Linked DNA regions of Tribolium castaneum. The protein of the gene in region 3 interacts with the protein of the main gene of each other region in a biochemical or structural test. Links are inferred from orthologs where the notes say so. Each region holds a gene or a part of one and is shown on either strand. Other genes may lie near its edges. The genes, in order: Ubc4, ubiquitin-conjugating enzyme E2 J2 and Uba1.

Region 1 (10,811 bases), about 1.5 Mb from region 3:
TCTGGGACTCTGGGCAAATGGTGGCAAATGGCTGTTTGTGTGGTTTGATCGCAAGCACGATATTAGACTTGATCTTGATTTCTGCCGATATTATAGGCACAGATTAGAGAGGTTATAGGTGTTATAGGTGTTATAGGTAGCTTCGCTAAAATTGACTATACGTGTGTGCGACATCTGCGATGGCAATCCGAACTACAGTCGATTTTGAATTTGGCGCCTATACTTGGCTTGGTGCATTTAGGTTTCACCACCCTACCCTGGGTCATTCTGGTCATGCATTTCATTTGTGATGGACCAGGACGTTGGAAATGGAATAGCGCACAAAGACAATGATCAAAGTAAGTGTCAGTGTAATTTGCTACTGTTATTTACAGTTAATTTACAGTGGATTATCTAGACCTATTGGAGGTGAAATTGTCGATTACGAATTTCATCAAGATGTCGCTAGCGGTGAAACAGGCTGGTTATTTATTTGGAAAAACCTGGCCTGTACCCATAGACCAAATAAAAAAATTAAAAAAGACAATACTCAAAAAGGGGAGCTTTTCAACGAGAGCATGGTTAATCACTGCATATATTAATTTATTGTAATTATTGGGGTTTTTAATGGTTTAATTTGAGATGTTTTTTTTTACTTATCTAATGGATTTATTGGGTTTTTGTAATAAAAGTGTGGAATCCTTTAATTAGTATTTATTATGTACTCGCACATAAGTAAAGAAATCAAGACTAATAATTATTGTAACATTTTCTTTAATTAGTTTGTTCCAAATATGCTCTATTGATATAATTAAAGATGCTAATTTTGCTATCTTATTATTTACTTTCGATGTGGTCATATACACCTCGTTTAGGTAGCAATAGTCCACTTTGACATTTGACCGAAGTTGCAAAATGTTATTTTAAGTTTCCGTTTTATTCACAGTTTGGTTGTGGTTAGTTTTCACGGGCCCCAGAAGGAGACCAAAAATTCGATCAATTTGTTTTTGTATGATTAATTCCAATAGTAATTTACGAATTTCAGTTATTGCTGTAGGTAAACAAGAATTTCGCTTCATTTTTTTATTTAATTGAGGTGTGTGATTTTCTACATATTTTAATGATATTCAGAAATTTTCAGCGCTATACCCTTATTATTTTTCCAGGCATCTATAGCCATTTTTTCTTGATTTTTTTTGTTAATTCTATTTGCTTTTAATTGACTTTTTTTACCTACATGAGTTTGAGCATACCTTCTACCTTAGAAAATTAGGGCAAAATCATTAAAGTATTTACTTTTTAAATAGACCTTTAAAAACAGGGTTGTGAATTCGCTACGCACTAGTCCACTTTGTGGACTCTCATGAGGGATCACATTCCGAATTTGTTTGGACGAAACCGTATTCATTTTTGTGCTCAAGTGGCCCAATAGAAAAACAGGGCAAAAAGCGAATTTTAACTTTTAACAAAGGTACCTTGAAAAACGGGGGTAGATCTGATAAAAAATGGTGTGTGCCGAACAAGCCCATATAGTTTTGCTTTTCTTAAACATACCTTTGAAAACAAGGTCAAAATGCTTAAAAGGTGTTGTGTGCTGAAGGGGCCCTTATAGTAGTAATCTACAATACCTACATTTTTTTTAATTTGTTCATGTAATTCCATAAAAACAAGGCACTGTGATCACAACACGGTGCTGTAAAGACACCGGGAGACTACAGGGAGGATTAAAACTTGCCGATGTGTAAAAAAAATAAATAATTTATTGAAAATCGTATGGTCAAAATGTGATCCGTAACAAAATTGAAGAGTGTACCTAATACTTAATACTTAAACTTTAAAAACCGCCTAAGCAAATTTGAAAAACTCGAGTTTTTTATCAGTCAACGAAACCAGAAAACTACCATTTTGATTCTGGAACCCTTTCAGATCGAAAACACTTTCGTGCGCCGTCACGGAGCAAACCTTTTGCCCCGTATTGATGCTCCACAAGAACACACTCTTGCAATTTTCCTGGTGGGCAGCAACGTAATCACTCGTATGCGACAAAAAACACGACTTTGATAGCAACTTCTGCATGCCGCCCCCTTGAAACGTGTGCAGAATATTGCAGTCAATTTTCCCCTCATTCCTCGCCAAGGTACTTAAAGTATGCCTCGCGTACGTAATTCGACTATTGGGCCTAGAAGACACTAACAATTGCTTTGTGTTTGTTTGGTATTTCATTGAAACGAATGGTCCCTCTAAGGAAATCGGGTGTCTCTTGTACTCCCCATTCGCGTTCTCGTACAGCCAGAGCGAGTTCAACTTGCAGGACACGACGCCCCCTTGCGCCAGGGCTTCGCCCGGGGCTGCCGGGATCGACGCGACTGAAACCACCGGAGACATGTCCCCTTCTATGGAAAAGGTACAAACGGCCTCGGTTAATTGCCGAATGTCGTATTTTATAACCGACCCAGCTTGCGTCCCTACGTATAGCTCGTATGGGTTGTTTTCGTCCCAACAGCATGACCAGAGGGGCATTTGATGGGTGAATTGGTGGACAACCGAATTCTCGTGGTTGTTTATGACCTTAAAGGTCTTGTCCATGGACGCTGTAAGCACCCAGTTCTGTTCCTTGTGGAAACAAATGTCTCTAATTTGCAACGTATGGACTGGAATGAACGCGATTGTTCTGTACCCCGAAATGTTTATTTTTTTCAAGCCGAACCCGGCGAACAAATTCGTGGGCGACTTCATCGAAGCCATGAGCAGGTCCAGCTCGCAGCGCGCGTCAAAAACCCGGCTTCCGCCGAATTTGCAAATCTCCATCGCCTTGTCCATGTACAGCTTGACGCGCTCCACCATGGGCTGGTTGAAAGTAGGAACATTGTTCTGCCTCAGTTGCGTCTTGAGCTGGGCGATCTCCTGCCTCAGCAACTGCTCGCGGTAGGCGCACGTGGCCAACTCAGTCTGGAACTTGTTGCGCTGTTCGGTCACCGAGTCCAGCTGTTTTTTGATATTGTCCAGTTCAGTTGTATCAATTGCTGTTAGTTTTTTGGCGTAAATGTAGCGAATGTCGTGGCGGCGCGCCTTCTCCTTGCAGGTCGGGCACGTTTTGCGCGAGTTCTGGTTCAGCCACCGGGTGATGCACTGCTCACCGAACAGGTGCCCGCACTTGAGGGCGCATATCCGATGGGGGCCCGTGTTCGTCCACTCGTCCAGGCAAATGGGGCACACGGAGCCGTCCTCCTCGCGCTCCTCGTCCTCGAAGGTGCGCTTTCGCGACTGGTTGCTCTCCTCGTCGAAGGTCTGGGGGGTGCTCGCCACTGACTCGGTGGGGGACAGTCTTTCGATTTCGTTGGCTTGTGGCACTAGGGGGAACCCCACGTCGTTGTAGGTGGCGGGGGGCTCGTTATTATCTACGTTTATTGCTACTAATGCTAAGGGGTGGATCTCCTCCACGCGCGGGGAGATTATCTGCAAGGGGTAGTCCTCAGAGCCTTCAACTTCCATCTCATTTTCTGAAACGGTTGACTTGTGTGATAATTCGCACGGAATAACGAGTTTATGGTTACCTCCGTGGTTGTAGTCATCCAAGTTCATTACTTTTTGGGTTTTTTTTCAAATAAATTTACAACCTAACCTCAAAAAACTATCCTGTCAATGTCAAATGGCGACGTCAAACTCAAGGACGTTTCAACGTCAACGACCTTCACGTCCTTGCATAAGATTTTTACGCAAAAATAACCACACGGAAATGTTTTTGCGGATTTTTCGTAACCACTAAGTGAAAAATAACTCATCTGATAACTGATAAAAATAAAAAATACAAATAATTCACGATTATGAACTTCCTCCCTGCTGGCAGTCAAATAAGCCTTTAAATCGAAAAGTTGGAAAAAACTTGCGTTTTTTATATTACTGTGGAGTCACAAAGGTTGTTCCAACTCCCGAGAAGGGGTCAAAAAGACTTTTTAGTAAAAATTTACAAAAACCTAACATTGGACAAATTTTGCGATTACATCCCGTATCTTCTTTCTGGATAAAGCTAGAAATTTATTTTTTTTGTAAAAGATTCCACCGTAAATAATGCAGTTTTACGTATTTACACAAGGTTGACTTTTGATAAAAAGAAACTAAAAATTACATTTTCTTGTAACGTCCTGTGTAATGAATTTTTCGATATGAAATGAAGTTAATAACTTAAATAAGTTTTTCATGTAAGAATCATTTCAATATCTGGAACACTCACAGTTATTACAATATAAAATTACCGCAAAATCTGCTCGAGGTGAAATCGCAGCATATTTCTAAAAATGATAAATTAACAAATTACTTTTAATCTAAGGTTACCAACCGTCCTGATTTAGCCAGGACGGGTTTAGGTTTTTACACTTATGTCCTGTTATATATGTTTTAAGTTGCCACCAAAAACACAGAATGTATCTACCTGATTTTTTTTTTCGAATAAAAACTACCGAAAATCTTCGTTTTTTCGAAAAATTTCTAAAACATGTTAATTAGATAAAAAAATTAAGATAACGGGAAAAACCATACATTTTCCGCCAATTTTTCTTCTTTTTTGGTCGAAAATAAGCCCAGATTTCCTAGGAATTCTTGCTTATAAAAGACTAGAAACCCTTAATTTTTGGTGTAATTTGAATAGGTTTTCATAAAAATTTTGCAAAAAAAGCTAAAGATGTTCGCAGCGATGCCAAAATACTAACAAAAAACAACCTTTTTTTCAAGTGTTATGACAAGATTTTACAGTATATGTATATTATTTTAACCGCCCTAACTTTCTGTTAATATTAATATCAAAAACAGTCAAGTGAACATTTTTATGCAAAATTTTCGGCTTTACAATTTTTGTTTAAAACTTTTTTTTCTAGCTTTCAGCGATTTTGAATAATCTGTAAAAAACGCTTTAATTTCGTTTCTTCAACTAAAAAATTCTTTGTCTAAACGTTTTTAACTGCTCCATGTAACTTATATAAAAAAAGCGAGCTTTTGAACATTTCGATTTACAGGCTTATTTGACTGGACCATTGAAATTATTCAATGACTGGACTAATAATAGGTGATTGTAATTGAATTTAAATCTATTTTGAAATAGTACCGAAGGAGTCTCGACCTTTCGTGGTGCTACTTATGTAAATCTGTTGCATAATCAGTGCATAAATTAAGAGTTAATGCGCAACTTTTATTTTCATGGAGTATTTGAGTTTCAAATGGACGTGGATTGTCTTAGGGTTGTAACTCACCTCAGTGCCTGTATATTCAAGATTAAAATTTTATTTTAACAGTATTCAATCGCCGATTTACAAATAAAAACAGTAACTAATTGGAAAGTGGTTATACAAAGCATTTCATTCAATTACCATACTTGAAGTGCTAAAAAACTAATCTGGTGGTTTTCACTAGCAAGAATAAACCGTAATTAATTGAAAGACTTTGTACTCGAAAGAACTAACGATAAGCATCAGTAACATCAATAAATTTCAAACACCAATATTGACAAAAGTTGAAATTAGTTCGCAAGAGCCAAAACAAGACTTTCGTATAGTGATTACTGAGACATAAGGTAAATGCAAACAATCCTTTTATTCATCTTGTACACCTTCAAAATAATTTAAGTCAGTAATCTATTGGGTAGAAAATGAAACTGCGTTTCATAACCAACTGTTGGAAAAGTGTAGAGAGAATATAGTAAAATGGCGGATTAAAATAGTTCACTAACTAAATAACTGTTCAGTTGCTCTTTCTATATCCCAGTTATACGACGACAAAGCGACCCGCGCCTGGTGCTCCTCCACTCCCATATCAACTAGCCTTTTTATTTTATCGTCACATTCTTTATTTACATGGGGACCTGCAAACAGAGCGTCACGCCGTCCTAATTGCAAACTGCATAAATTACCGCCTGCGTAAACATTTGTCCAATGTCTGGCCGTCATTTGAAACATTTCTATATTTTCCTTAAACTGCTTCGCCACCACGGCGTCCTGTGGGTCATCGGGCTCCGCAGCTGAGAGCAGCGCTTGGAGCGACAACAACACCGTCCTCAGCGTCATAGCTGCAGCCCTAGAATTTCATTTAATAACAAATACTACCACGTAATAGAAAGCACCATTGGTCCTTTAAAATGTCTAAGCAGATAGCGCCCGTTACTGATGATATATTCGGGTGCCATATCTTCGTAATGAACCTGACCTGTTACAAAACTCTTAGTCTTTTTTTTCCTGGTTATGTTGAAACGTACCTTGGGTGGATTGAAGGGGTATGTTTCAGGTACTTTAATCTCTAATACGAAGGTGCCCCCTTCGTAGGCCGTGTCCGGGGGGCCCGTGATCTCGCCTTTGAGCTCTGTATAACTATCATTTAAGAGTTCCACTTTGATGGCACATTTTGCTACCTAAATTTCAAACAAGCACGATCGTATTAGCCAAGTTTGTTGATTGTTACGAAATGACGTTGGAGTGATAACCCCTTCGCTTTGAATTTATGGCAGGGGGCATTTTTCAGTAATCAATATTTTACGTTGTGTACTGACAATTTCAAGTGTGAAAATTCGAAATGTCCGAGGAAACCGAGAACGGTAAGTGGCGTTTAGGAGTTAGAATGACATAACAGAAAAACAGTGTTTGCGAAGTTCCTACCTCTTCACTTTTAATAACCTCTTTAAACTCTCGTCGTATCCTTTGTGCTGCTATGTTAGCCATTCTGGTGGGGAAGTTCCTAAATGCAGTAAAACATAACAGATAAACCGTGGCTCTAAAAAATAGCGATTTGTTGACAAAAGTAAAAAATACACTGGCTAAAGATCGATTTTCACACTTTTAATTTCTCACTGAAGTTAGGCAAATTATGAAATGCTAAATGAAGAAATGTCACTTGTTTTCAATAGCATTATAGCCAACTTTACGGAATTTACGCGCGCGCCAAATCGGCCGAAATCTCGCAAATATTCGGGGATTTTCCCTCGGACTGCTGCAACGATGACGTAAGGGCCCCCCCGCGCGATTTCTGTTGACAATTTCGGCGATATTTTCGACGGAAATCTTCGATAAGCAGGGAGTATTTCGTCACAAGGTTTATCATTCTGGAGCGTTGTTTGCCGATAACATTAGACCCCGCTTCTGATTGGCTGCGCGTTTTGCAGTTATGCCCGTTTCCCAGCCCGTACGTGCTAAAAGCTTGTTGCGGGCAAAGTTGGAAAAGTCTTCGTTGATCCTCCAGAGCAGAATGCCGAACATTAAAGTCTTCAGCGGGACCTCGCACCCCGACCTGGCCCAGAGGATCGTGGACCGGCTGGGGATCGACTTGGGCAAAGTGGTTACGAAGAAATTCAGCAACTTGGAAACATGGTGAGTGGGCTTTGGAAATTATTTGCTTATTGACTTGGCTTAAATTGCGACTTATTATTATTATTTTATTTTAGCGTGGAAATTGGGGAGTCCGTCCGTGGGGAAGACGTGTACATCGTGCAGTCGGGCAGCGGGGAAGTTAACGACAACCTGATGGAACTCCTCATCATGATAAATGCGTGCAAAATTGCGTCCGCGAGCAGAGTCACTGCAGTCATTCCATGCTTCCCGTACGCTCGGCAAGACAAGAAGGACAAGGTGAGTGCACAATTGCTCCAATTGTGTACCTGCACATGTGTAGATAACCTAGACGCCACGTGACTTTGTATACATCTGCAAGCGGGTTTGTGGAGACCGTAGTTTTGGTTTTTAGGACAATTAGGGTTGTGGTTTTTCCTATTGACCTGACAAATTAGTCAAGCATCTGGTTTAATAATTGGACAAGTTCAATCCGACCACGTAGTTTATTAATTTGAAACAATTTGTTTACCGTTAGGTCGGCAAAAGGAGCACGTGGTTGAGAGGGCGCCACTGCCGCGACTTAAGTATTTCAAACATGTTTGCTTTGCTTAAGAAATATATGATTTATGATGTGTTAAATAGTCATAAAGGCTTTTTACTAGAATATTAGCAAAGGCATAATAAATGTAACTGCACTATTAAAAGTGATTTTGCTATATCCATTTAACAAAGACAGTCTTTAATTTGTTACTTTTTATTACTACAATTATTGTGTACTTTTAGATTTTATTGATGTTTTTCTTGACACAAAAGTGGAAAAATAAGTCTATTTCTTATCATAATAAATACTAAGTGATTGTGTGATTAAGGTTTGCCAGTATTTAAATATCAAATTCAAAATTTTATACAAATAATATACACTTCCATGCCTAGCCATCACCTGAAACAAATTAGAAGAATGACCAATAGCTCAATAATGCCAATAGATTTTTTGTCAACATGTACTCATTTGAATGTATGCGTTTTTTTCTTATGTAGTTGGTAATCTAGAGGCAAAAACGTGGTCTAATTAAATATTACCGTTCGAAATTTGATTAACTGACTCTTCAGTTTTATTAATTATAATAATCAGCCTTGCCATACAAGAAAAGAAGCCATAAAAACTTACTCTAATTATAAATTCAAATGATTGATTGGTACTATGTATTATAATAACAAGATAAAAAAAACTAGTGGGGAGTCTACAGTTGAAGAGCAGATTTCGAGAAAAATTATTAAATTTTTTTTAATTACTGAAATAATGATTTCAAAACGTGTCTAAATTACATTACGTGTTACTTTTCCTTCAAAAGACCAAATTTTTCTTTAACAAACTATTTTTCATGTGCATCATTCTACTGCTCTACCCAACCGCCTTTATCTTGAATTGTCACAGGACTAAGCAAACGAATTTAGAGAAATCATACGTTTACAAAAAAATTTACAATACACTTGATCACGATTTTTTTAATATCTTTATCTCTTTCAGTAATTTTTTGAAATAATAAGAGTTCCAGGTAAATGGAATTCTTTGCTTGTGGCAGTTTTCAAGTGCAATTTTAAGTAACATTAAAATATTATCATTTTAATTCGGGGTGTTCTTAGTGCAGGTCCCAACTGGCCTGCCCTAATTGTTTTCCCCCTCAAATATTTGTTTATTACAATTTATTGAGTAATTTGAACAAAAATATTTTATTGGTTCCTTATCTGTGTAGCAAAACCACTTTTGCTTTCAATGACGTCTAAGCGAGGAACTAGCCACAGTTCTCTTAATTAATTAAGATTCTGTATATCTATTACTAATTAGCATAACTTAAAAATAGTTGAAATGGTCGGAAATACGTCAATAAGTTCGGGTTCATGTGTGTTTATAAACTGATAATAGTGGAATGTTTAGCAAAATGCATTGCTTTAAATAGTTTTATATTTCAAGAGTAGATCAAGTAATGTAATAATGTTGAACTACTTACACTATCGTGATAATAATTAAACTCTAATTATTATGATTCTTGACTTTTTCTAACGTGACAGAGATTGAAGTTTTTTCTAAAAAGTTGAAAGAAACTTATGTAAAGTGTATTTTTATTTATAATTGCACCTGTTTTTCGTATTCTCAATGTTTCTGTTGACAAATTTCCAATTTTTTCTCTTATGCAACGTAGTTCCCATAAATAAAATTTAATTTTAACTGAAATCATTCGATTAGAATAAAGTAGATTTACACCTTCGTACATTCACATACACACTTACCTGATACGAGATTATTTTAGCCTGCGAATAAAAATGACGTCGAACGCAACGTGGAAAAATGGAAGTCAATCGAATGGAAATTCAGGGTAAAAATTGTTAAATTTTGTGAATGTTGCAGGGGCTTATTGGGAAAGTGTCGTCTGAAAATCATGTTTTTACGCCAGAGTTAGACTAGCTTTGTACGTTGTTAATAACACTGATACAAAACACAGCGTTCATACGTCGCAATTAACAAATAATAATAAAAAAATCATAAATGGGCGCGTAATTGCGACACGCTGTATATGATTCCCGGAACTGCATGCCAGGATTACAAAACGAAGGGGAAACGTACTGTTGTGAAACAATTTTACATTGACGAAATAGTCATTATTATCGTGTAACAAACATTCAGGAGTCAGAAGTCAACTTTTGTTTATCTGTTTATTGTTGGGTAAAAATTATCATCCGAAAAATGATGTAATGATCTTGAAACCATGCGATAATAATAATAATACCGAAGACTTATTAACTAACCCGACATGTCATTTTACTAATTGAAAATTTAGCTAGATAGTGGCTTGGGAATTTTGTTTAGCTTTTAACATGTTAGGTCCCTCGCCCTCGGCCCAATGCATGCCAATTTGAACCTTTGCTCAACAGAGTCGGGCCCCAATTTCGGCCAAACTGGTCGCGAACATGCTCTCGGTGGCGGGGGCCGATCACATCATCACCATGGACTTGCACGCGTCGCAAATCCAGGGCTTCTTCGACATCCCGGTGGATAATTTGTACGCCGAACCGGCGGTGTTGAAATGGATCAAGGAGAACATTGTCGAGTGGCGGAACAGTATAATAGTGTCGCCGGACGCCGGGGGCGCCAAGAGGGTCACCTCCATCGCCGACAGACTCAACGTCGAGTTCGCCCTCATCCACAAGGAGAGGAAGAAGGCCAACGAGGTGGCCTCGATGGTGCTCGTCGGAGACGTGAAAGACAGGGTTGCTATTCTGGTCGACGATATGGCCGACACTTGCGGCACGATCTGCCACGCAGCCGAGAAGTTGACCGAAGCTGGGGCTACGAAAGTCTACGCGATTTTGACGCATGGGATTTTCTCCGGACCTGCCATAACTAGGATTAATAACGCGTGCTTTGAGGCTGTGGTTGTCACTAATACGATTCCACAAGACGGGCATATGAAGGATTGTTCGAAAATCCAGGTGAGTTGTGCGATTTGGCACAAATCACAAGTTTGA
Region 2 (10,266 bases), on a different chromosome or scaffold from region 3:
AGCTTTTCGATGCTTGTCGCTGCGATCGCGGGAATTGTCTTCTCGGAGAAAGAAACGTGGCACTATATTTTCATAATACCCATAGTACCGGCAGTTTTGCAACTTATTGCTCTACCGTTCTGCCCGGAATCGCCCAAATTCCTCTTGATCACTAAAGGCAGCGATGCCAAAGCCGAGAAGGCGCTCAAATGGCTGCGAGAGAGCGACGATGTTGCGGAAGAGTTAGAGTTGTTGAAAGAGGAGGATAATCGGGTCAAGCAATTACGGGGATCCTCTCTGAAACGTATTCTGAGCAACCCCGCCATGACCAACGCTTTGATTTGCTGTTTAATTTTGAATATTTCGCAGCAAATGTGTGGCATTAAAACGGTAAGTTGGATGATTACTTAAAGTTTTCGCCATTTCTGCGTTGAAGGTAATTCAATTCTCGACCCCGGTTTTTGAAGAAATGAATCTGGGACCAAAAGTGGCCTTGTATATCACGGCAGGAATGTTCATACCTCTGCTAATTACATCGATAGTTTTCTGTTTTATTATCGATAAATACGGACGACGTAGAATGGCAGAAATTAGCTTAATAGGCCTGATTATAACAACAACTTTCCTTTTTACTTCTCTGTACTTGAGAGTGAGCATTTTTATTTGGGTAAAATCAAAAATCATGTTTTAAAATCCAATAGAGAAAAATTGTACCAAGCATGAAGTATGCGGCTATTGTAGGATACTTCGTATTCAACGGGTTTTATTGCATCGGTATTGGCCCCTTGGGATGGTTTGTCCCAGCTGAGATGTTCTACCATTCATCCCGGACTGTCGCAGTTTGTTTATCAGTTGCATCAAACTACATTTCAAGTTTTATAATAGGGCAAGCGTTTTTCATTTTAAAGGTAAAACAAGCCCCTAGTCAAAGCATAATCCAGGAATTAATTCTAGAGCGAAATCGATGCATACACCAGCCTCATATTTATTGTTTTGGACATATTCTCGCTTCTTTACATCCAGCAACGCTTACCCGAGACGAACCAACTTAGTGCATTAGACATCCTCGATATGTACACCTTTCCACAATAAATTATCCCCAAAAAATCTCCAAGATTATTTTACCCGAACAATTACCCTGTTTCCCAAAAAAATCTTTGAGGGAAAGTACCACCAAAAAAAAATCTCTCAATGAGAAAGTTTTATTACAAATCTTCAATACGCCATTTTGATGCTATCCAACAATGGTCTAAATCCCGGCCAAACTCCCTGGAAACACCCCAACTGTCCAGACCGACCCAGGCCTCCCAGTAATAAATTATTTGTCACATTTGACATGGTGCGTGTAAAAACGCACCTCCAAAGAGTTTTCTCAGTATTTTGCTCCAAATTCATTTTCGCGGTTATCGTCGCCAGTCTTTCAGGCTTCCAGCATGGCTACCACCTTGGCATTGTCAACATTCCGGCTGAAGTGAGTGTTTCCCACGAACTGGCCAACAACCCGATTGTAGGTCTTGCAGGAGTGGATCCGGGAAGTGGCAATTAACCGCAAGGGAGAACCCGCAACTGAAGGTTTCATCATGGTGTTTTGGTCAACTCTCGTTGCCATTTTTTCACTTGGGGGCATTGTCGGGGGCAGTTTGACGAACCTCTTCGCTGAGAAATTCGGCCGAAGGAATAGCTTGTTGTGGAGCAATGTTTTAGCTCTTTTAGGGATTGTTTTCCTTGTCTATTCCAAAGTGTCCGAATGTTACGAATTGCTCGTTGTTGGGAGGTTTGTCGCGGGAGTGAACGCCGGGTTAAACTCGGGGCTTTGCCAAATCTATTTGATCGAAATCGCTCCCGATAAAATCCGGGGGTTTGTTGGGGGGTTCTACCAGTTAATTATCGCAATGTCTATTTTGATTTCGCAAATAATGGGAGCGGTTCTGGGAGACGATGAGCAATGGCCGTTTATGTTTCTGGTCGGTTTTATACCAGTTTGCCTACAGTTGTGCCTTTTACCGCTATGTCCCGAGTCCCCTAAGTATCTTTTCATAACGAAAGGCGACAAGGAGGGAGCCGAAGCTGCCCTGGTTTGGTTCAGAGGCACTAACAACGTTTACAAAGAAATGTACAAACTCAAGGAAGAAAACAATTTGCACAAAAGTGTAGACGATGTGAATTTGGGTAAATTACTGTGTGATATTTCCTTGAGGAGCCGTTTGGCTGTCTCTTTGATTATAAATATTGGACAACAGCTGTGCGGACTCAACGCTGTAAGTGATAAAAACCCAATTTTGTCAATAATAAAAATCGTTTCAAGCTGATTTATTTCTCGAACGAGATATTCAAGAATATGGGCATGTCGGAAGAACTGGCCACCCAAACGACCATTGCCATGGGTGCGGTGAATGTTGTGGTAACCCTGTTGGGTATTATCTTCGTGGATTGCATCGGTCGTCGCATTGTCTTACTTGTCGGTTTCCTGGGGATGGGTATAAACACGTTACTTTTGGGCATAATCCTAAATTTAGGAGTAAGTCTTTTCGAATTTTGCCAAAAAAATCCCTCTTTTCCCACTAGAAAATTGCAAGTTTTATCGACTATATCGCAACAGTATTGGTTTTTGTTTTCGTAATTCTGTTCGCGATGGGCGTTGGTACAATACCATGGTTCTTGACTGGTGAAATTTTCAACCATACCCCTCGCTCGATTGCGGTGACCATAACCGTCAGCAGTAACTGGTTGTTTAATTTCGTGGTGGCCCAAACCTTTTTGCCCTTACAGGTAACCATCCCGATCCCAAATTCCGAAAAAAAATTGTTAAATTCCAGAGCGTCATTGGGAATTACGCGTTTCTAGTTTTCGTCGTCTTTGACTGTTTCTTTTACTTCTTTACTGTTCTGCACCTCCCGGAAACAGCGCGTCGTTCCGCCAAAGAAATATTTGAAATTTATTACGAATAAACTTTTAACCTAAATTGTCATTTGTTTCAATCAAAAGTGACATCGAAATGGAAAGTCTTGTTAAATTTCTTTTTTGTGTGGTAACAATTGCAGGTTCGGGTTTTGTTTACGGCTTCCACACAGGTTTCCTCAATATTCTCTCAGCGGTAAAACATGATCCCCGGTGGAAAACCGAATAGAACGGTTCTTTTAGACACTGATGCAATGGTATGACGACGTTTCAGACGAGCGGCTCGATACAAAGCAAATTAAGGAGCCCTTAAACCTGGGAGCTATTCACGCTTGGGTCACAATTTCCTTTTCGATTGGAGGCGTGATCGGAGCTGCCCTTATATGGCCCTTCGCCACTTACCTCGGCCGAAAACTATCTCTTTTCTGCAGTAACTTAATAGTGGTGTTTGCGCTTATCATCGTGAGTTTTGTCAGTCCTTCAAGCACTTTCGAATTGCTGATTTTCGGAAGAGTCCTTCTGGGTGTGTCGGCCGGAATTAACAGTGGAATAGGACCAATGTACTTGGTCGAAATCTCGCCTCACTGCCTGCGAGGCTTTGCCGGGAGTTGTTATTACCTGATTGTGGCTTTATCAATTTTCATGGCTTATGTTTTCACCCATCCTACGATAATGGGGGAAATCGAGACGTGGTCTTATGTTTTTGTCGTGTCGGGATGCCCGATTATAATTCAGGTAAAACAGTGGTGTTTTAGAATTTGAAGAATGCTTCTTTTAAGTCTATAATGCTTATATTTTGTCCCGAAAGCCCCAAATACCTCATGTTCGATAAAGGGGATGAGGATAGAGCCGAGGACGCGGTAGCGGACATTGAAGGGGAAGAAATCGACGAAGAAATGGACGATTTGAGGGAAGAAATGGCCCTTTTGGACGAAATTGGACCAGTGACAATAGAACGGCTGTTCAAAGATGAGACTTTGAGGAACCCTTTAATAATCTCGGCTGTCGTCATGTTGGGACAACAAATGACAGGAGTTACCTGTGTAAGTGGGCAAATTTTTTGAACATATTTTAAACCGTGCCCTTAGTTGTTGTACTTTTCGTGCGTAATTTTCGAACACCTGGGCTTCGACGATTTCAAAGCCAACGCAATGGCTCTAGGTCTAGCTTTCGTGAACTGGTTTTGCGCCCTTGTGTGCGTATTTGCGGTGGACAAAGTGGGCCGCAAGCCTCTATTGCTGGCTAGTTATTTCGGTATGGTGCTAACAGTGTTTTGTTTTACTCTCACGATGATTCTAATGGTGAGTGATTGGGAAAAAATACAATTCTTCATTTCATTTTTAGTCAATTTCAGTGCGACCTAATCAAGCCATTGACACAATCGCCGTCGTTCTGATTTATCTATATGTGATGTTTTTTGCGCTTGGCGCTGGTACCATTGGGTGGTTCTTTACGGCAGAAATTTCGAACCATTTCGCCAGACCCATCACCGTTTCTATGACGGTGATGTTGTACTGGATCGTCCAACTTATTTTTGTTGGGTGCTTTTTACCTTTTTGGGTACCACGTTGGCGAATTTGGGGCAATTTATTAACGAGTTTTTTTTAGTTCATGATTCACACTTATACGTTTTTGTTTTACATTATATTCGATATTGCGACAGTTGCTTTTCTCTTACTAACGCTAAGGGAAACCGCAATGGTGCCTAGTGTCGATATCACGGAAATGTTTTATGATTAAACTTTTCGCCGATGTCACTTTTGAAAATAAATTTTTTAAAAAAACCTCACGATGATTATTTTACATGGGAATCCCCGTTCATGTGCCGCATTGTTGGTTGCCTACCCCACGGTGATAAATGATGAAATTATCAAATTTTTAGTACGGTTTCGTCTTTAAATTATTTATTTATTTAGCTTATGATTACTTGTGGGCCTTTGTAAAATTCTGTTTGGCTTTTTTGGCAGAAAAGTGTTACGTCAGATGTTTTCGGGACAGTTCACTCTCACGTCATTTGTCGCTTTACCAATTTTTCGGAAAAACTCAAAAAAATCACTTGTTGTTTATCACCGCCCCGCGCCCCCGTCCCATCCTCTCGACTTTGATTGATTACGTGCCCCGAGCGATAAACACAGATAAGAGGCACAAATTAAGTACGTTTTGAGTGCTCCTAACCTCACTTTCAAGAATGTACAATTAGTTGAAAATGTCGAATCGCAAGACAAATAGTGCCACTTCGCGACTCAAACAGGACTATTTGAGGCTGAAACGTGACCCCGTGCCCTACATTACCGCCGAACCTCTACCCTCGAATATCCTGGAATGGTGAGTGCTGAGGCACCCAAAAGGTTTGTTTTCGAGCCAGTTTTAGGCACTATGTGGTGTGCGGGCCGGAAAATACGCCATATGAAGGGGGCTTCTACCACGGGAAGTTGGTTTTTCCGCGCGAGTTCCCCTTCAAGCCCCCTTCTATCTATATGATAACGCCTAATGGGAGATTTCGGACTAACAAGAAGCTGTGCTTGAGTATATCGGACTTTCATCCAGATACGTGGAATCCGGCGTGGAGCGTCTCCACAATACTCACAGGGCTTCTCAGTTTTATGGTAATGAACTATTTCCCAATGTACTTTTTCGTAATTTTTTGGTTTAGCTTGAAAAGAGCCCCACTTTGGGGAGCATAGAAACGTCAGAGTACGACAAGCGGCAGTTTGCCTACCACTCGCTTGAATTCAATCTCAAAGACAAGGAGTTTTGTGATTTATTTCCAGACACAGTTACCAAAATCCAGGTTTGTATCTGGTTATGGGGGCTATGCGATGTTTTGACCTTTGTTTAAATAGGACGTGCTGACGCAACGGAGTAACATGAATAATAACGTGGCAGAGAACCAGAAAACCTCTCGGTCAGTAGCAGAACCCAGCAATTTCCAATCATGTATTACTAATTTGATAGTATTTATTGGTGTTGCTGCATTTGCGATTACGGTAAAATACGTAGTAATAACAACGGCGTCTGAAGCTGAATAGGGTTGATAATAGGGTTGAAAAAGTCACATTTTAAGTTTACTTTTCTTTGGTTTTAGTTTTCGCAATTGTCAAGAACGGCGCAGGATATTTAATCTTTGTAGGAAATTTAAGAGACTTTTTTCTAGAGCACACGTTTAGGGTTCTTTGTAGTTTCAGCTGAACTTTTTTACTTAAAACATTATCAACAGTTAACGAACCTAAATCTCTCAATGTAAATAACTTATGTAATATATCATAATCCTAGTATTATTGTTATTAATATTTGTATCATAATACATATTGGTTGTAATGATGAATATATTTTTTCCCATTTTTCCAAGTGTTTCATTTCACGCACCTATCACTTATCAAGCAAAAATTTGTTCAAATGCGTTGTTACTTCAAGATGTAATTGATGAGTAATAACAGGTGTTTGATATCCAAAAATCGTAAATGACTAATCGATAAAATAAAAAAAACAAAACAAAGCTGACTCAATTTACTACTCCACAAATCAAACGTTCATTGAAGTAGGAAAGTCCGCTTCAATTTTATATTCCGGAAATAGGCATAAGGCAGACAAATAGGAAACAAAAGAATGAAAATCGAGCAAATACGCTCGAAAAAAAAACACGAATATATTGAATATATTGGTATTTTCGGTTCAAAAGACTTACATTTTAAGCCAAAAACCTGCTGCAAAGCTTAGAAAAAACACCATTTTTGACCTTTCGTGGTTTACGAATGAGTTATTTGGGTTGCCTACACAAATTTTTATCAGTTGATCTCGTTGATCCTATCCACAGATCATTTCTCAATTTTTTTTATTAATATTGTTAGGTGAAAGTAACTAATTGTAATATTCTTATTAAATTACTTTTTTCGATTAATGGTCAGTTACAGCATGAATTCACAAAATCTGTAGTACTATTTATATCTCAATAAAATTGTATCTAATTGTCTCAATTACATTTGTGGATTCCAGACGTCATACCTTATCTCTGTTAACACACATTTGCTTGAAAAGTGTCACTTCATCTCTCAAACATGCTGGACTGTTCTGAGATTAATGTAACTATAAGAAAAGCCAAAAAGGAGGATATGATCCAAGTCTACAAACTAATCAAGGTATTATTTAATTAATTTTTAACCCCTGGCAATGCGATATCGCATTTTTCAGGAACTTGCAGAATTTGAAAAACTAGAAGACCAAGTAAAAATTGACGAAAAAACCTTGATTAAAGACGGGTTTGAGACCGATAATCCAGTTTTCACGTGTCTTGTGGCAGAAATCTCAGATGGACACTTAGTCGGATATGCATTGTATTACACGTCTTACTCGACTTGGTTGGGAAAATCAGTTTTCCTTGAAGATTTATACGTCCAACCCGCATACAGGAAAATAGGAATAGGGAAACAGTTATTTATGGCAGTGGCCAAAACCGCACATGAATTATCTAGCAAAAGATTAGATTTTCACGTTCTCTCCTGGAACCCTGCCATAGACTTTTATAAAAGTTTGGGCGCTGAAAATTTAACAGTTTCCGAGAAATGGCAGCTTTTTAGACTGAATGAGCAGGCTTTGAATAAAATGTTTTCGTAAAAATTAACAATTTATTAGAACACGTTCAAACAATTCACTATTCTCTTGCCAAGTGATAACAAGTTATGGTAATGATAATGGGTCTGTTGGGTGCACCTTGTGGTGGACACTGAGCAGATGCTCCTCTAGTTTCATTTGACCGTTGTACACATTATCACAAATCTGGCACCTAAAAATAAAATTTAACCACTGTCCCCGTTTTTCACCATAAATTACTGGTATGTTTTCTTCTTGGAAACCCCCAAATGCAGTTTTTCATGAACAGCCAAGTTGTACTTTTCCGCAAACTTTTTCCCACAAGTGCCACAAGAAAATTTCTTCTCGCCAGTATGCACCCTCATGTGTCTTTTAAGGTGTGACGCTGATATCAGCAAAAAGCCACAGACGTCACATTTGTACGGTTTTTGCCCAGTGTGAGTGATTTTATGAATATTGAAGGAGGTGTGGTGAACGAATCTTTTACCACACGTATCACATTGAAACGGTAGTTCCCCTAAAACAACCAATCATTTCCTAGCAAAAAACAAGCGTCCACACCTGTGTGGATGGGTGTGTGCCTCATCAAAGCCCCCTTCTGCGTGAATGATTTGTTGCAGTAGACACACGTGAAGGGATTGATCCCTTTGTGCATCCCTACGTGGATTGTTAAAGCTTGTTGGCGCTTGTACGCCTGGCCACAAATTTCGCAAATGTAGGGACGTTCCTTGCTATGCGCCGACATGTGATTTTTCAGTTCCGTTGGCGTTTTCCAGGTTTTGGAACACTGAGTACATTTATAGGGTTTTGGATCCGTCCCATCCTTCTGTTTTTTCTTCACACTTTCACTTCCCGCTTCTTTCGTAAACAAATCCAGCGTGGACTGAATCTCAGACACCGAACTGAGATCATCAATATTAAAACCTGTCTCCAAATCATGCGTCTTCAGGTGATCCTTGAAACTCGCACCGGGGATTTTTTGACCACACATTGTGCATTCCTCGCTTTTATTGCTCGCTTCTCGTTCAATGTAGTTTTTGTTGGGGCAGTGTTTACGCAAATATTGTTTAAACTTGTTTTCGATGTTCCTTGCTCTAACTTTAATACTGTCTAGTTCATTCAGGAGGCGATAACACATCTCGCAAACGAAATAATTTGTTATGCAAAACTCTTCCTCAGCGCAGTCTTGGAGCAACATCAACAGAGGGGTTCTTGTATCGTTGGAGACCGATTGTCGGAGATCGAAGTGCAGAGTTTCGACAGGACACTCGCACAACGTGCACAGTGGTTGAGCCATTTCAAGAAATCGGCTTAACACCAAGCACCACACCACCACCAATTTTAATTTGAAAAAAATGTATTCACTTGTAAGGTTATGTTTTTGTTTATGTCAACTGTCATCACCCCAAAAAAATATTTGTTACTTAAATCCTCCGAATAGCTTCCTGGTTATGTCAAGAAATAATAACCAGCACGTATTAAGCCCAATTTGCGTTATTTTAATGCCATTTCAATTACTTTTTGCACATTTTTATTGTCAATGTCAAGTTGGTTGCCTAAATCGACCTAATCAAATGTCAGTCGGGGAATTAAATCCACCAATCAGCGCAATCCACATGTTTTGAGAAGGTCGTTTCGTGTTTCTCGCTGTGTGAGCATAACGATAAAAATCCATTAATTAAATTAATATTAATATAATGTTTGAAGTTTTTATCCAAAAATGAACGTGAACTCTGTGCCCGTCTTGCTTTTACTGACTTTCATTTCGGTAACCTCAGTTCTAGCAGGGCGAGACTTTTACAAAATACTGGGTGTCTCAAAAAGCGCCAGTTTGCACGAAATCAAAAAGGCCTATCGTCGCCTAGCCAAAGAGCTGCACCCTGACAAGAACCAGGAAGATCCGGAAGCCTCCCAAAAATTCCAGGACCTGGGGGCCGCCTACGAAGTCCTCTCAGACGAGGAAAAACGCAAGAAGTATGATAGATGCGGGGAGGACTGTCTCCAGAAAGACGGGATGATGGACAGTGGGATGGACCCCTTCGCCAGCTTCTTCGGCGACTTCGGGTTCCCCTTCGGGGGCGGCGAACAGAAGCACGAGACTCCGAGAGGCGCTGACGTGGTGATGGACATCGCCGTGACCTTGGAGGATTTATATTCGGGCACTTTTATCGAAATTACGCGGAATAAGCCGGTGATGAGGGCGGCCAAAGGCACCAGGAAGTGCAACTGCCGGCAAGAGATGATCACGCGGAATCTGGGGCCCGGGAGGTTCCAGATGATGCAGCAGACGGTGTGCGACGAGTGTCCGAACGTTAAGCTAGTCAATGAGGAGCGCGTTTTGGAGATGGAAGTGGAGCCGGGGATGGTTGATGGGCAAGAAACGAAGTTTACGGCTGAGGGGGAGCCCCATTTAGATGGGGACCCTGGCGATTTGATACTTAAGATAAAGACGCAGCCGCATCCCGTTTTTGAGCGCAGAGGGGACGATCTGTACACTAACATCACGATTAGTTTACAAGTAATTGTGTTAAGTATTTAGGGACGAGAGTAATTTTTGTCTTGTTAGGACGCCCTTGTGGGGTTCACTATGGAACTCCAGCATCTGGATGGTCACATGGTTTCGATAAGTAGGGACAAAATCACTTGGCCCAATGCCAGGATAAGGAAGAAAGGAGAAGGCATGCCAAACTATGATAATAATAACTTGCATGGGAATTTATTTATTACATTTGATGTAGAGTTCCCCAAACAAGAATTATCAGATGATGACAAAGAAGGTATTCGCGTTAAAGTTGCCAATTT
Region 3 (10,811 bases):
GAAAAAAAATCGGGTGATACTTCTGTGATACAATTCCCTGGCAATGGTCAAGTCTTGGTAATTTCACTATATCGATCCCGTATTAAAATAATTATTAAACTTGCGTAGGTGGATGGAATACCAGGCGGTCCAAGTGGCGGTCAGAAACCTAAACTTTTCTCATATAACGTAGTTTTCGAGCCTGCGGCCACTCAGGAAGACGTTTTGCAGTTTTCAGGCATGAAAAGACTCATTGAAATGGCGCTTGAAGGGTTCAGGTGTACGTGTTTTTGTTATGGACAAACTGGAAGCGGAAAAACACACACACTGACAGGACCTCCTGGCCTTGTATGACATAAATAATATTTTTATTGACTGATGGATGAATTAATATTTTGTAGTTCGGGGTGAGACCGGCCCCTTTTAGTGATAAACACGGCCTTGTTTTTCGATCGTTCCTTTATTTGTTTCAACTGATACAACAAAAAACCGACGTACATTTCGTCCTCAAAGCCAGCTATCTGGAGATTTACAACGAAAAGGCAAGCGCAAGTTTTTAATCAAGGTGGCCTTAGTCGGTATTACCAACGTAGTTTCGAAATCTCAGGCTACCGTGTTTAAAAATTCAATTGACGGCACGGTGTATTAATTATGCATTTTAAATTGTTGTCATAGATTTACAACTTACGTCACTAAAAAAAGTTAAAACTATGACATATTTTAATTCAATAATTGATTCCTGAAACGATATCGATCAGGAATAAACAATTTTCCATTTTTAATATTAATAATTAATATTAATAATTGCTGAAAACTTGAACACTATTGTAGACATTATTGGAAGAAAGTTGTCTAATATGCCTACCCTAAGCAATTAACGTACTAAGAGACGCTGTTAGCGAGTTCTGTGGCATTATTTAAAGATGCAAAATAAAAAAAAAAACTTAAGAAAATATTTAGCCAATCTAATAGATAGATGTAATACATAGTGAAAGTATTGACCTTCTAAGCTACTGAAATACAAAGTTGAATGTATAAGTGTACAAGCATCGGTGGTTCAGTGGTAGAATGCTCGCCTGCCACGCGGGCGGCCCGGGTTCGATTCCCGGCCGATGCAACTTTTTTTTTTCACTATTTTTGATTTTTGTTTAGGTAATTGATTTATTAAATCCTGGAAGCGCAAGGAAGCCCCTAGCAGTCCGGTGGAGCAAAAAAGCACGCGGTTTTTTCGTTGAGAATCTTTTTACGGTCGACTGTGAAGAGCTCGACGACTTAATTGCAGTTCTGGAAGAAGGATTAAGAAATCGTGCTATAGGGAAGCACAACATGAATGATTTTTCCAGGTATTTTTTAGTTTTTTTGTGTTTAGATTCACAAAAATTGTTTTACAGCCGAAGTCATACGATTTTAACTGTTTATATCACGTCTGAAGAACCAGCTGAAGGAGGTGTTTTTCTCTCGAGGTCTGGGAAAATAAATTTCGTTGATTTGGCGGGAAGTGAAATGACCAAAAAGACACAAAGTGAGGGCAAAACGTTAGAAGAGGCGAATAATATTAATAAAAGTCTGATGGTGTTAGGTAAGTGAAACATTACTAGACTAATTATGAAGGAATTTATCAATTTAATTGAATAAAATAAATTTAAAACATTTTATCTACCCTTTCGAAAAAGTTGATAAAGAAGTAGTTTAACATATACTATTGAATTGAATTTCAATCATGAATGAACATGATTATTGAATTGAATTTATGCGAATAATTTGTAAAAAATCAACTTACTTCTTCAAAATAAATACGTATTTTAAAGTAAAAAAGCAAAAACTTGAAGAAGAAAATTCTAGTTTTGTGTTTGTTTTGTCTAGCGTAAAAGTTTTTTGAAATTCAAATTTTCTAACAAATTAATTATTTGTATTCTAATTGCAACACTGACATGGAAAAATAAAATATTGAGAGAAAACTTGTCTCATTAAGAATGCATATAACATTCGTTATAAATGAAATGTTATTGAATCCATTTCGATTACAAAAATATTTATATACATTCAAGTTCAACACTTATTTACTAAATTATGTGGGGTTTTCGTACAAATCCAATTACAAAACTCATGAAAAAAGTATCTATTTCAATGGTGCATGAATTATAAATAGAGACCTTTTCACTCTTTGCGCTTAAAAGTCAATACCTCGGAAAAGCCAATAATAGTTTAATAACTAATCTCTGAAGCAGTTTGGTATAAACTGTGATCGAATTACTTGTTCTTTAATTTGCTACTCTAGTTGATTGATTTTCTCTTTAGGGTACTGCATATCGTCGTTAAGTGATTCCAAGCGAAGGAACTCGCATATTCCTTATCGAGATTCAAAACTGACCAAGCTCCTTGCAGATTCATTGGCAGGAAATGGCGTAACACTGATGGTAATTTTTTAGGGTTGATTAAGACTGCCTTGCAATAAATCTGTTTCAGATTGCTTGCATTTCTCCTGCCAGATCCAACATCAGCGAGACCCTCAACACGCTGCGCTATGCCGCTCGAGCGAAGAAAATTCGAACAAAGCCTATTGTCCTGATGGTAAATATAAAAGAATTCCCTCGTTGCTTGTAACATATTGTAAATGTCATCAGGACCCTCGAGAAGCGCTCATTCTGAGCCTGAAACGAGAAGTGAATGTCCTGCAGAGCGAAAACGAGCATCTGCGCTCGGCGCTCAACGTCTACTCAGGGTCAACAGCAGGAGATTTACCAACAGGTTGGTTTTTAATTTATAATTAGAACTATTATCAGTTTCTTTGTACAAGTCGCACTAAAAATGCGAGCCTCTGTGGCCCAATGGATAAGGCATCGGCCTCCTAAGCCGAGGATTGTGGGTTCGAGTCCCACCAGAGGTAGCTGCGTTTTTTGCAACTACGGTTTATCAACATTTATTCCTGGCTTTGACGTAGTTGCGACAAAAAATAGATAGCACGCGAGCCGAGCTCCAAGCAGCCGATGTTCAATGAACAAGAACGGAGCAAATTTTAACAATTAATTACTACAAGAACTTTTTAATTTCTTAAATTAGTGAGAAAGTTCAAGAAATTTTGTATGTGTACGATTTTAGTTGAATTTAAATGATGCAGATCTCTAGATTCTAGAATGTCAAATGTTGACCTATAAACTTTCTGTATATTATAGTCTTATCTAATGCTCTCTATGTCCTAGATTAAGAAACATCAGTTATCACTTTATCAGTAGCTCCATTTCGCGCAGCTAATGATTTAAAAAAATATCTGAGACATATTTTTTTCAGTTATTGCAAATTGCACTTAAAATTGACAAAAATGTGTTTTCTTACATTTTTATTTGCAGCGTTTTGAGAGATATCTTATGGAGCGCAATTTTTTTATTTTCGTTTTGTTTTCATAAACCAATTAACTTAGAAATGCACTTGTGTACTTTGCCTCAGAGAGGAGAATAGTGGTAACCCCACCCCACGTGGATTTGGAAAAACTGGCCGAACTCGAAGGCCCCCAGCTCGCCGAACTCGTCCGCTTATACATGACCGAAAACGAAGCTCTCCGACGCGAAAACTCCGAGCTCTACTCTTCCCGCGAAATCCTACAAAGAGACCACGAACTCGTCTGCCGGGAAAACGAGCGTTTACTAAAGAAACTCGAAGAAGTGAACTCGTACGTGCCAAGACCCCAATTCCCAAAATCGATTATAATTTTTATTTTAGTGTATGTTGTAGGTCTCCCCTGATTCCAGCCCGGCCCGCATTTTCCGCCGAACTCCTCAACAGCATCGACTCCGAATCCACGACAAACATTTGGTCGGACGGAGACAAATCTTCACACAGCCGATCGCCCCAACAAATTCCGCAATCGATTCAGAAGGAGTTGGACAAGAGACAAATTAAAACAGAGTACTTGTTTAAAAATATGAGTTTTTTAGCCTAAATAAAAATTGTAGGATTCAGACGCCTAGACGCGGACACCGCAGGAACAAGTCCTTGGAAGAAAGCTCGAGCGATTCGAAAGTAGTTCGAGTGAAAAGCTCCGAGTCAGACGGAGGCCCCGTTCTGATAAATCGTTCCGGGTAATTTGCCTCAAGTTGTACAGTTGCACAAATTTTGTGATTTGAGCGACTGTATTAACTTGCTAGTGCAAAAAGTTAGCTTTTTAACATGAGGTTGTAATTCAGCACTTTCGACTCGAATAGTCCCGAAAGAGAACGCCAACTGGCAGGTAGGCGGTTTTCTGTGGCAAAACCGGACGAAAATGAGCCGTCAATGAATGGAGCACGACGCAAATTAGAGAAGAATTCACATATTTTTGGAAGCGTTATTTCCTTAACGGATGAAGAAGACATTTAATTAATATAGCTCGAGTGATACTGTAGCAATACATAATCTTATTTTAGTACGTTCTCCCATATTGTACCAATAGTTAATTTGAAGACACACTGTAGAATTAAACACTTGGAATATTCAAATTGTTACTATTAAAACAAGGTACAAATATACATTATTTTACTAGAAAATTGTGTTTATTTATCCTAAAATGGTGATTGGTGAAGGTTTCACAAAAATGAGGTAAGTATATCTTACACTGATATTATAGCTTCAGAAAATGTGAATTCTTCTCTTGACACAATTTTAATTGATCATTTTGAATGCAAACGAAATTTGTTATCGACTGACAAAGTAATAGCCATTGTGTTGAAAAAATTGATTAGATTAAACGCATAAATCACTTTATTCATCTAGTCTATTTCATGATTATCCTAAATCTTATCAAACAGTGGGAACTAATTTAATTTTAAAGTGGTGTTGATCGCTGGAAATTATTCCACTCGTGTGAATTTGGTAAGAATTAATTATTGTTGCCCTAATTAGGTACATTAGAAAAACAAATTCTAACAAGTAGTGCAAACAGTAAATTATGTTACCTTGTCACATCGATATAGAGCAAAATGATCATTTTCGTGGTGTTGTCCTTTCTTACAGGAATTTTCGTATGGTTTGTGGGAAAATTATTTTCGAGTAAATCGCTGTAAGTACTTTGTATATTTATTTAGATAAATTTAAGATGTTAAAGTTTACAACTCACACAAAAAAACATTCTAAAAATGAGCCATTGGTTAATTTTCTATTGTAATGCTATTGACAAATTTCGGGCCCACAAAACCATCACAAAAATAAACAATATTTTTGACTTACGTCATACTTGATACCTCAAAAAGGAGAGTGATCTTAAAAATATCTAATTATTGTCATTCAAAACGTGTTCAGGCATAAAATAATGCAAATGTTGCTCATATTTAATCAAAAACCTAGCAGATTAGTCACAAATGTTTATCACTTATCGCAGTTTTCCAGAACGTAGGTATGATTTATAAGTAATTATTAATTGTTATTAGCGAGTGCGGTGACATTATTTAACGATGCAAAATACAAAAAAAAAAAAACGTAAAGAAAGTATTGACCTTCCAAGCTACTGAAATACAAAGTTGAATGATTAAGTGTACAAAAATCGCCCTCCAATTTTGTAAAAACTGCTGCGTGACGGTAATACTTGGAATAATTTTTAATTTTCACTCTTTTTGTACCGTAAAATGCTGCTATTAAGAGTGAAATTTGTTATTGGAATAATTTAAAAAAATATCATTTTCAAACATTTTGACAATGACAATTCGTCAATGCTACAAATCGAAATGCAGGTAATACAAAACTCCCTACATTTTCAATTTTATCGTTTTTTTATGGACACAATGAAGGCAAAATAAAAAACGCATATTTCAGGTGTTTTATAAGACTTATTATCGCAACCATTGGGGCACTCCTCATCGGCACTAATTTTAAATGTGTTAAACACCGCCAGTAATGAGTACAATGGCACCAACAAAACAAATTTAAAAATTGTCAATCATGGCCTACGACGATACGGCCCCAATTTTCCTCCACAACCTTTCAAAATTAACGTAACTGTCAAAACAGATGTTAAAATGTTAAACAGTGTGCAGTCACTTGGGTCGTTTCGGTGCCCCCATTGCTCTGCTTAACAATCAGTGTGAATCTTTCGCGACAATTTCCAATTTAGCGCGTAAGTTTGCAGAATTGTGGGAGTGCGTGAATCACGCATTCCGGCATGCGCATTCGGCCCGTGGTCTCTTTGTTCGTTCGTTGTGCGCCTTCAGCCAGCGTTGTGTCTAAATCCAAGTGAAAAAACCGGCCAATTGACATTGCTATATGGTTATCAGCGCGCAAATTCCTCGATTGACCCGCAACTAATCAAACTGTGTCCTTTCGTGTCCGATGTCTAGTGCTGAAATCGCCGAAGGCTCCGTCGATCCCCCAACTAAGAAGCGGAAGCTTGACTCGTGCCCGATTTCAACCGACATGGCGAACAACGGCGCTTCCGGATCGTCTCAGCAGGACATCGACGAGGGTCTGTACTCGCGCCAGCTCTACGTCCTGGGGCACGACGCCATGCGGCGCATGGCCTCCAGCGACGTGCTGGTCTCAGGCCTGGGCGGGCTCGGCGTCGAGGTGGCCAAGAACGTCATCCTCGGCGGGGTCAAGTCCGTCACGTTGCATGACGAAGCCGTTTGCAGCGTCGCCGACCTCTCGTCGCAGTTCTACTTCACCGAAGCCGACGTGGGCAAGAACAGGGCCGAGGTCTGCTGCAAGCAGCTGGCGGAGCTCAACACCTACGTCCCCACGAAGGCCTACACGGGCCCCCTGACGCCGGACTTCATCCGCAAGTTCCGAGTCGTTGTCCTGACCAATAGTTGTCTCGCTGAGCAGATGCAAATCAGCGAAATCACACATGCCAGTAACATTGCGCTCATTGTGGCCGATACGAGGGGGCTCTTTGCCCAAGTGTTCTGTGATTTCGGGGATGCTTTCACGGTCGTTGACACCAACGGGGAGTCGCCGGTCTCGGCGATGATCGCTGATATTTCCACCGATAAAGAAGGTGGGTACAAAGAACCTAATGGAAGGCATTGTTACACAATGACTAATCTTGACGTTGTACGTCGGGTTATATTGGCAATTATTGTGCAATCAACCTGATCATGTGGCTAAAATTAATCCGATGTTAGAAGTTTGCCTTTGTTTTCCTTGCGATGTGCGAAGGTATGGAGTGAAAATCCCCAAAGGGCACTATATCAGTACTCAAATACCGTATGGTCAAATAAATCTGTCATCCTAATAAATTAAACATAATTCGAGACTATTCATAAAACCTAAAGCCATTTATTGGCTTACCAAAGTAGCAGTCGAATGGCATTAAACTTTGTGTAAATGTTGAGAAAATGTTGTAAAAAACATGTGATTTTATTAAAAATAGATGCTGTACTATCCCTTTTTTCCTCCTGTAAACTACCACTTGTGTGGAGGGTAGGAGGTTGATATTTTGAAGGTGAGCTGTATATTTATTAAAAAAATCTTTAGGTTTGTTAGTTAAATACCGGGTCAAGAAATAACCCACTATTGACTCACCCTGTACTTCAAACAATATCTTACCTAATAGAACAACTTGGTAAGATCAGCTAAAGAAGCACTGCAATCACAAAACTTCTATAATTTTATCTTGATGCAACTTAAATGATCTCCAAGCATTCAGTATTCAACTATTTTATTAAATAAAATAGCTTAAAATAGAGATTTTTTATTTTATTTTTAAACGAAACTTTTTTAAATTCATATTCGATACAGTTCTGAGTAATAATGACACCATTTCATACTAAGATTTATTTAAATGTAAGTCGTCTGAAAACTAGATCAAATATTTTTGATTGCAACTAAGAAAATTTCAGAAATTGATATTGTTGTTAAAGCATAAATTACATTATTGAAGCCACATTTTTTATGGAAACCAAAAGAAAACTCTGTATTTTTTTATTCGAAAATTGGTTTAAACACTTTTCCTTTTCCCATTCTCAGTACAGTAAAGCTTTGTCAAATTTTAGTATCGTAATCTAAAAAGTCTTATTTTGTCAATTTTTTTATGCTGTTGAAAAATTATTATGTCTGTTTTTAATGACCCAAATGTATCAGGACAAATCCAATTTAAATGTTCAATCTTATTTTTATCGATAAAGTGGGTAACACAATGTTAACATGAAAAAAATTAAAAATCTGGGTCTGGGTTAACTGAATTACACATGACACTCGATTTTTTTTTGTAAAATTTGCCTTTTGAGTCAATTGACAGGCAATTACAGGGTAATTCCATTTTTTACGAGATATAGCTCTCCAAATGTTAGATTTTTCGATTAAGTTTTTGGCAGATCATTTTTTCTTGAATTTAGTTAGCAGGAATGACACTAATTGATGATTTACGTTCAAAACAATTAATCAAAGTAGCAAATTTGACAATAAATTCGCCAATATTGGGAACAGAGGCGCAACATTTAAAAGAGTGTCTCAGGAAAAATATTAAAAATTAAAAGTTAAATTATCAGAAAAAAAATCTAAATTAATTTTTAATGTTAGCGGAACGTCTTTGTGGGCTTTTATCATCAAAAATCAACTATTTGGCTATTATTAATTATTATTATCTATTAGGTATAATTTCTTTTCTCTCGATATGTGATATGTTATTCACATTTGGATTATTAATGATCAAGAAAATTAATAGAGTAGTGAAGCAGCTTACTCGTAATACAGTTTTTATTTGATTATATTGGTTTCTGTTTTATTTCATTGCAAAAGCAGCTATTTAATGATCATTGTTGTAACGTCTATAAACAATGGGTTAATGAATTCGTACTATTTTTAGCTTTTCTACAATTGAAAAAAGATGAAATTTGCTCAAAGACCTCTAAAATTAAATTCTTTCAAATCACTAATTTTCTGTTTTTATTACATGTCATCAAAATACGTATAACAAAAAATGCAAATCAATGTTTTGTATAAAGAGTAGGTATTTGTCTACGCAATTCAAAATAACCATAATTGTGTAAATAAAGTGGTCTGCGTTATAAACATTTATTTTCGTCCTAAGCTAAAAACAAATCGGACATTGAGACAGATACCTTAAAAAAATAAAAGATTAGAAAAATGTTGCATCATTTTTTTAGCGCAATTCTGTCGTGAATCTCACTATCGAGAATTTCAATTGATTTTAGATACGTGTAAGGTAAAGGTCATGCGAAACAACGATGCCGTGTAACAAAACTTCTGTCCTTAATAAACATCGATTTAATGTAATGGATATTGTGGTTATAATTTCAATGCCTAAGTCAATACCACATCACATAAGTTTATTGTCGCCAAGTTGAAGATGTAAAATAAATTTAGTTTCCACTGCCATTAAATGTCATACTTTTATAATTTAATGGTCGAAATATGTTTGAAAATGGTGTTTTTTTCAATGATGTTTTTTTTTCTCAAAGGCATTGTGACCTGCATTGACGACACCCGCCATGGCATGGAAGACGGCGACCACGTCACATTTTCCGAAGTCCAAGGAATGACCGAACTGAACAATTGCAAGCCGATTAAAATCAAAGTGTTAGGCCCTTACACGTTCAGCATCGGCGATACGACCAACTTTTCGAAATACGAGCGTGGCGGTATTGCCACTCAAGTGAAAATGCCCAAAACCTTGTCGTTTAAATCACTCAAAGACTCGCTAAAATCGCCCGAATTTTTGATGACCGATTTCGCGAAATTCGATCATCCACAGCAGCTCCACGTGGCTTTTCAAGCGTTGCACAAATACGTCGAAAAGCACGGCCGTGTACCAAAACCGTGGAACAACGAAGACGCATCCGAATTTCTGTCCATTGCTAAATCTTTGGCCGTGGACGGCGGAAACGATACCGAAGTGAACACTAACTTGTTAGAAACGTTTGCGAAAGTGTGCGCGGGTGATTTGAATCCGATTAATGCGACTATCGGTGGTATCGTGGCGCAGGAAGTTATGAAAGCTTGTTCGGGGAAATTTCACCCGATTTATCAGTGGTTGTATTTCGATGCGATTGAATGTTTGCCCACGGAAGCTGGGGAAATTACCGAAGAGTCGGCGGCACCGAAAGGCACACGCTATGATGGACAAATTGCGGTCTTCGGAAGCGAATTCCAGAAGAAATTAGGTGCGTTTTTGTAATTTCTTGGCGAAAAGTTGCTAATTTATTTTTTGCAGGCGGTTTGAAATATTTCGTAGTAGGTGCTGGAGCGATCGGTTGCGAATTACTTAAAAATTTCGCTATGATGGGAATTGGTGGTGAAGGTGGACAAATCACCGTCACTGATATGGATCTTATTGAAAAATCTAATCTCAATCGACAGTTTTTGTTCAGACCACATGATGTTCAGCGTCCCAAATCTGGAACGGCAGCAAAGGTAAAATCATCTTATTGAAACAATTCCGAATTTAATGGTAAAAAACGATAAAAATGGACCGCACAGATGCGTAAACATTCAATTTCAAAGATTTTAAATAACGCGGTCAATTATCTTCGCTAGAGGTTTGTACTAGGTGAGACCATAACAGGCCAACTAAAATTCTCGGCAGTTTTAAATACTGTGATAAGCTGGTTTAATACGTAAAATTATCCGCAGAATTCACTGGAACAAACTGTTTGTCTCTACCACTTTTAGTTTTTAAGTTATTAAATTTTTAATGAGTAACCCGGCGCATCCACCATTTTTGAAGATGAAATTTAAAAATGTCTTTAAATAAAAAAAATCTTTATTTTTGCTACAGGTGATCAAGAAAATGAACCCGAGCATAAACATAGTCGCCCATGAAAATCGCGTGGGCCCCGAGTCTGAAAACATGTACGATGACACTTTCTTCGAGTCGTTAGACGGCGTAGCTAACGCTTTAGATAACGTTG

What was found.
Region 1: of the proteins of Uba1 (region 3) and Ubc4, one has a biochemical effect on the other in vitro, tested with the Homo sapiens proteins (9 studies listed by BioGRID, with this or other methods). The link is inferred for Tribolium castaneum from reciprocal best matches to the Homo sapiens genes UBA1 and UBE2K.
Region 2: of the proteins of Uba1 (region 3) and ubiquitin-conjugating enzyme E2 J2, one has a biochemical effect on the other in vitro, tested with the Homo sapiens proteins (2 studies listed by BioGRID). The link is inferred for Tribolium castaneum from reciprocal best matches to the Homo sapiens genes UBA1 and UBE2J2.

Annotation. Positions count from the first base shown.
Region 1 is NC_087394.1:31,289,878-31,300,688, forward strand, and holds Ubc4 (ubiquitin-conjugating enzyme E2-22 kDa), read right to left. Parts: upstream 7,037-10,811; 5' UTR 6,681-7,036; coding exon 6,618-6,680; intron 6,557-6,617; coding exon of another isoform or gene 6,535-6,556; exon of another isoform or gene 6,403-6,534; intron 6,374-6,402; coding exon 6,221-6,373; intron 6,172-6,220; coding exon 6,089-6,171; intron 6,043-6,088; coding exon 5,879-6,042; intron 5,831-5,878; coding exon 5,694-5,830; 3' UTR 5,238-5,693; downstream 1-5,237. Other genes in the region: E3 ubiquitin-protein ligase RFWD3, read right to left, coding at 1,825-3,479, 3,534-3,561; Prps (ribose-phosphate pyrophosphokinase 1), read left to right, coding at 6,535-6,556, 7,121-7,325, 7,400-7,583, 9,596-9,661, 10,218-10,775. UniProt on the Homo sapiens protein: Accepts ubiquitin from the E1 complex and catalyzes its covalent attachment to other proteins. In vitro, in the presence or in the absence of BRCA1-BARD1 E3 ubiquitin-protein ligase complex, catalyzes the synthesis of 'Lys-48'-linked polyubiquitin chains.
Region 2 is NC_087398.1:6,626,226-6,636,491, forward strand, and holds ubiquitin-conjugating enzyme E2 J2, read left to right. Parts: upstream 1-4,776; 5' UTR 4,777-5,083; coding exon 5,084-5,202; intron 5,203-5,248; coding exon 5,249-5,483; intron 5,484-5,530; coding exon 5,531-5,668; intron 5,669-5,720; coding exon 5,721-5,906; 3' UTR 5,907-5,962; coding exon of another isoform or gene 5,963-6,044; 3' UTR 6,045-6,220; downstream 6,221-10,266. Other genes in the region: solute carrier family 2, facilitated glucose transporter member 1-like, read left to right, coding at 1-369, 416-628, 681-887, 934-1,071; solute carrier family 2, facilitated glucose transporter member 1-like, read left to right, coding at 1,316-1,450, 1,491-2,237, 2,285-2,497, 2,545-2,748, 2,796-2,927; solute carrier family 2, facilitated glucose transporter member 3-like, read left to right, coding at 2,975-3,073, 3,121-3,612, 3,657-3,920, 3,966-4,178, 4,222-4,437, 4,486-4,617; thialysine N-epsilon-acetyltransferase, read left to right, coding at 6,933-7,013, 7,066-7,488; zinc finger protein 239, read right to left, coding at 7,552-7,657, 7,705-7,981, 8,026-8,761; dnaJ homolog shv, read left to right, coding at 9,185-9,982, 10,031-10,241. UniProt on the Homo sapiens protein: Catalyzes the covalent attachment of ubiquitin to other proteins. Seems to function in the selective degradation of misfolded membrane proteins from the endoplasmic reticulum (ERAD).
Region 3 is NC_087394.1:32,752,597-32,763,407, forward strand, and holds the start of Uba1 (ubiquitin-like modifier-activating enzyme 1), read left to right. Parts: upstream 1-5,921; 5' UTR 5,922-6,273; coding exon 6,274-6,937; intron 6,938-9,362; coding exon 9,363-10,064; intron 10,065-10,114; coding exon 10,115-10,314; intron 10,315-10,678; coding exon 10,679-10,811. Other genes in the region: Klp54D (kinesin-like protein KIF12), read left to right, coding at 1-57, 109-327, 381-521, 1,132-1,322, 1,371-1,558, 2,278-2,396, 2,446-2,550, 2,604-2,727 and 4 more. UniProt on the Homo sapiens protein: Catalyzes the first step in ubiquitin conjugation to mark cellular proteins for degradation through the ubiquitin-proteasome system.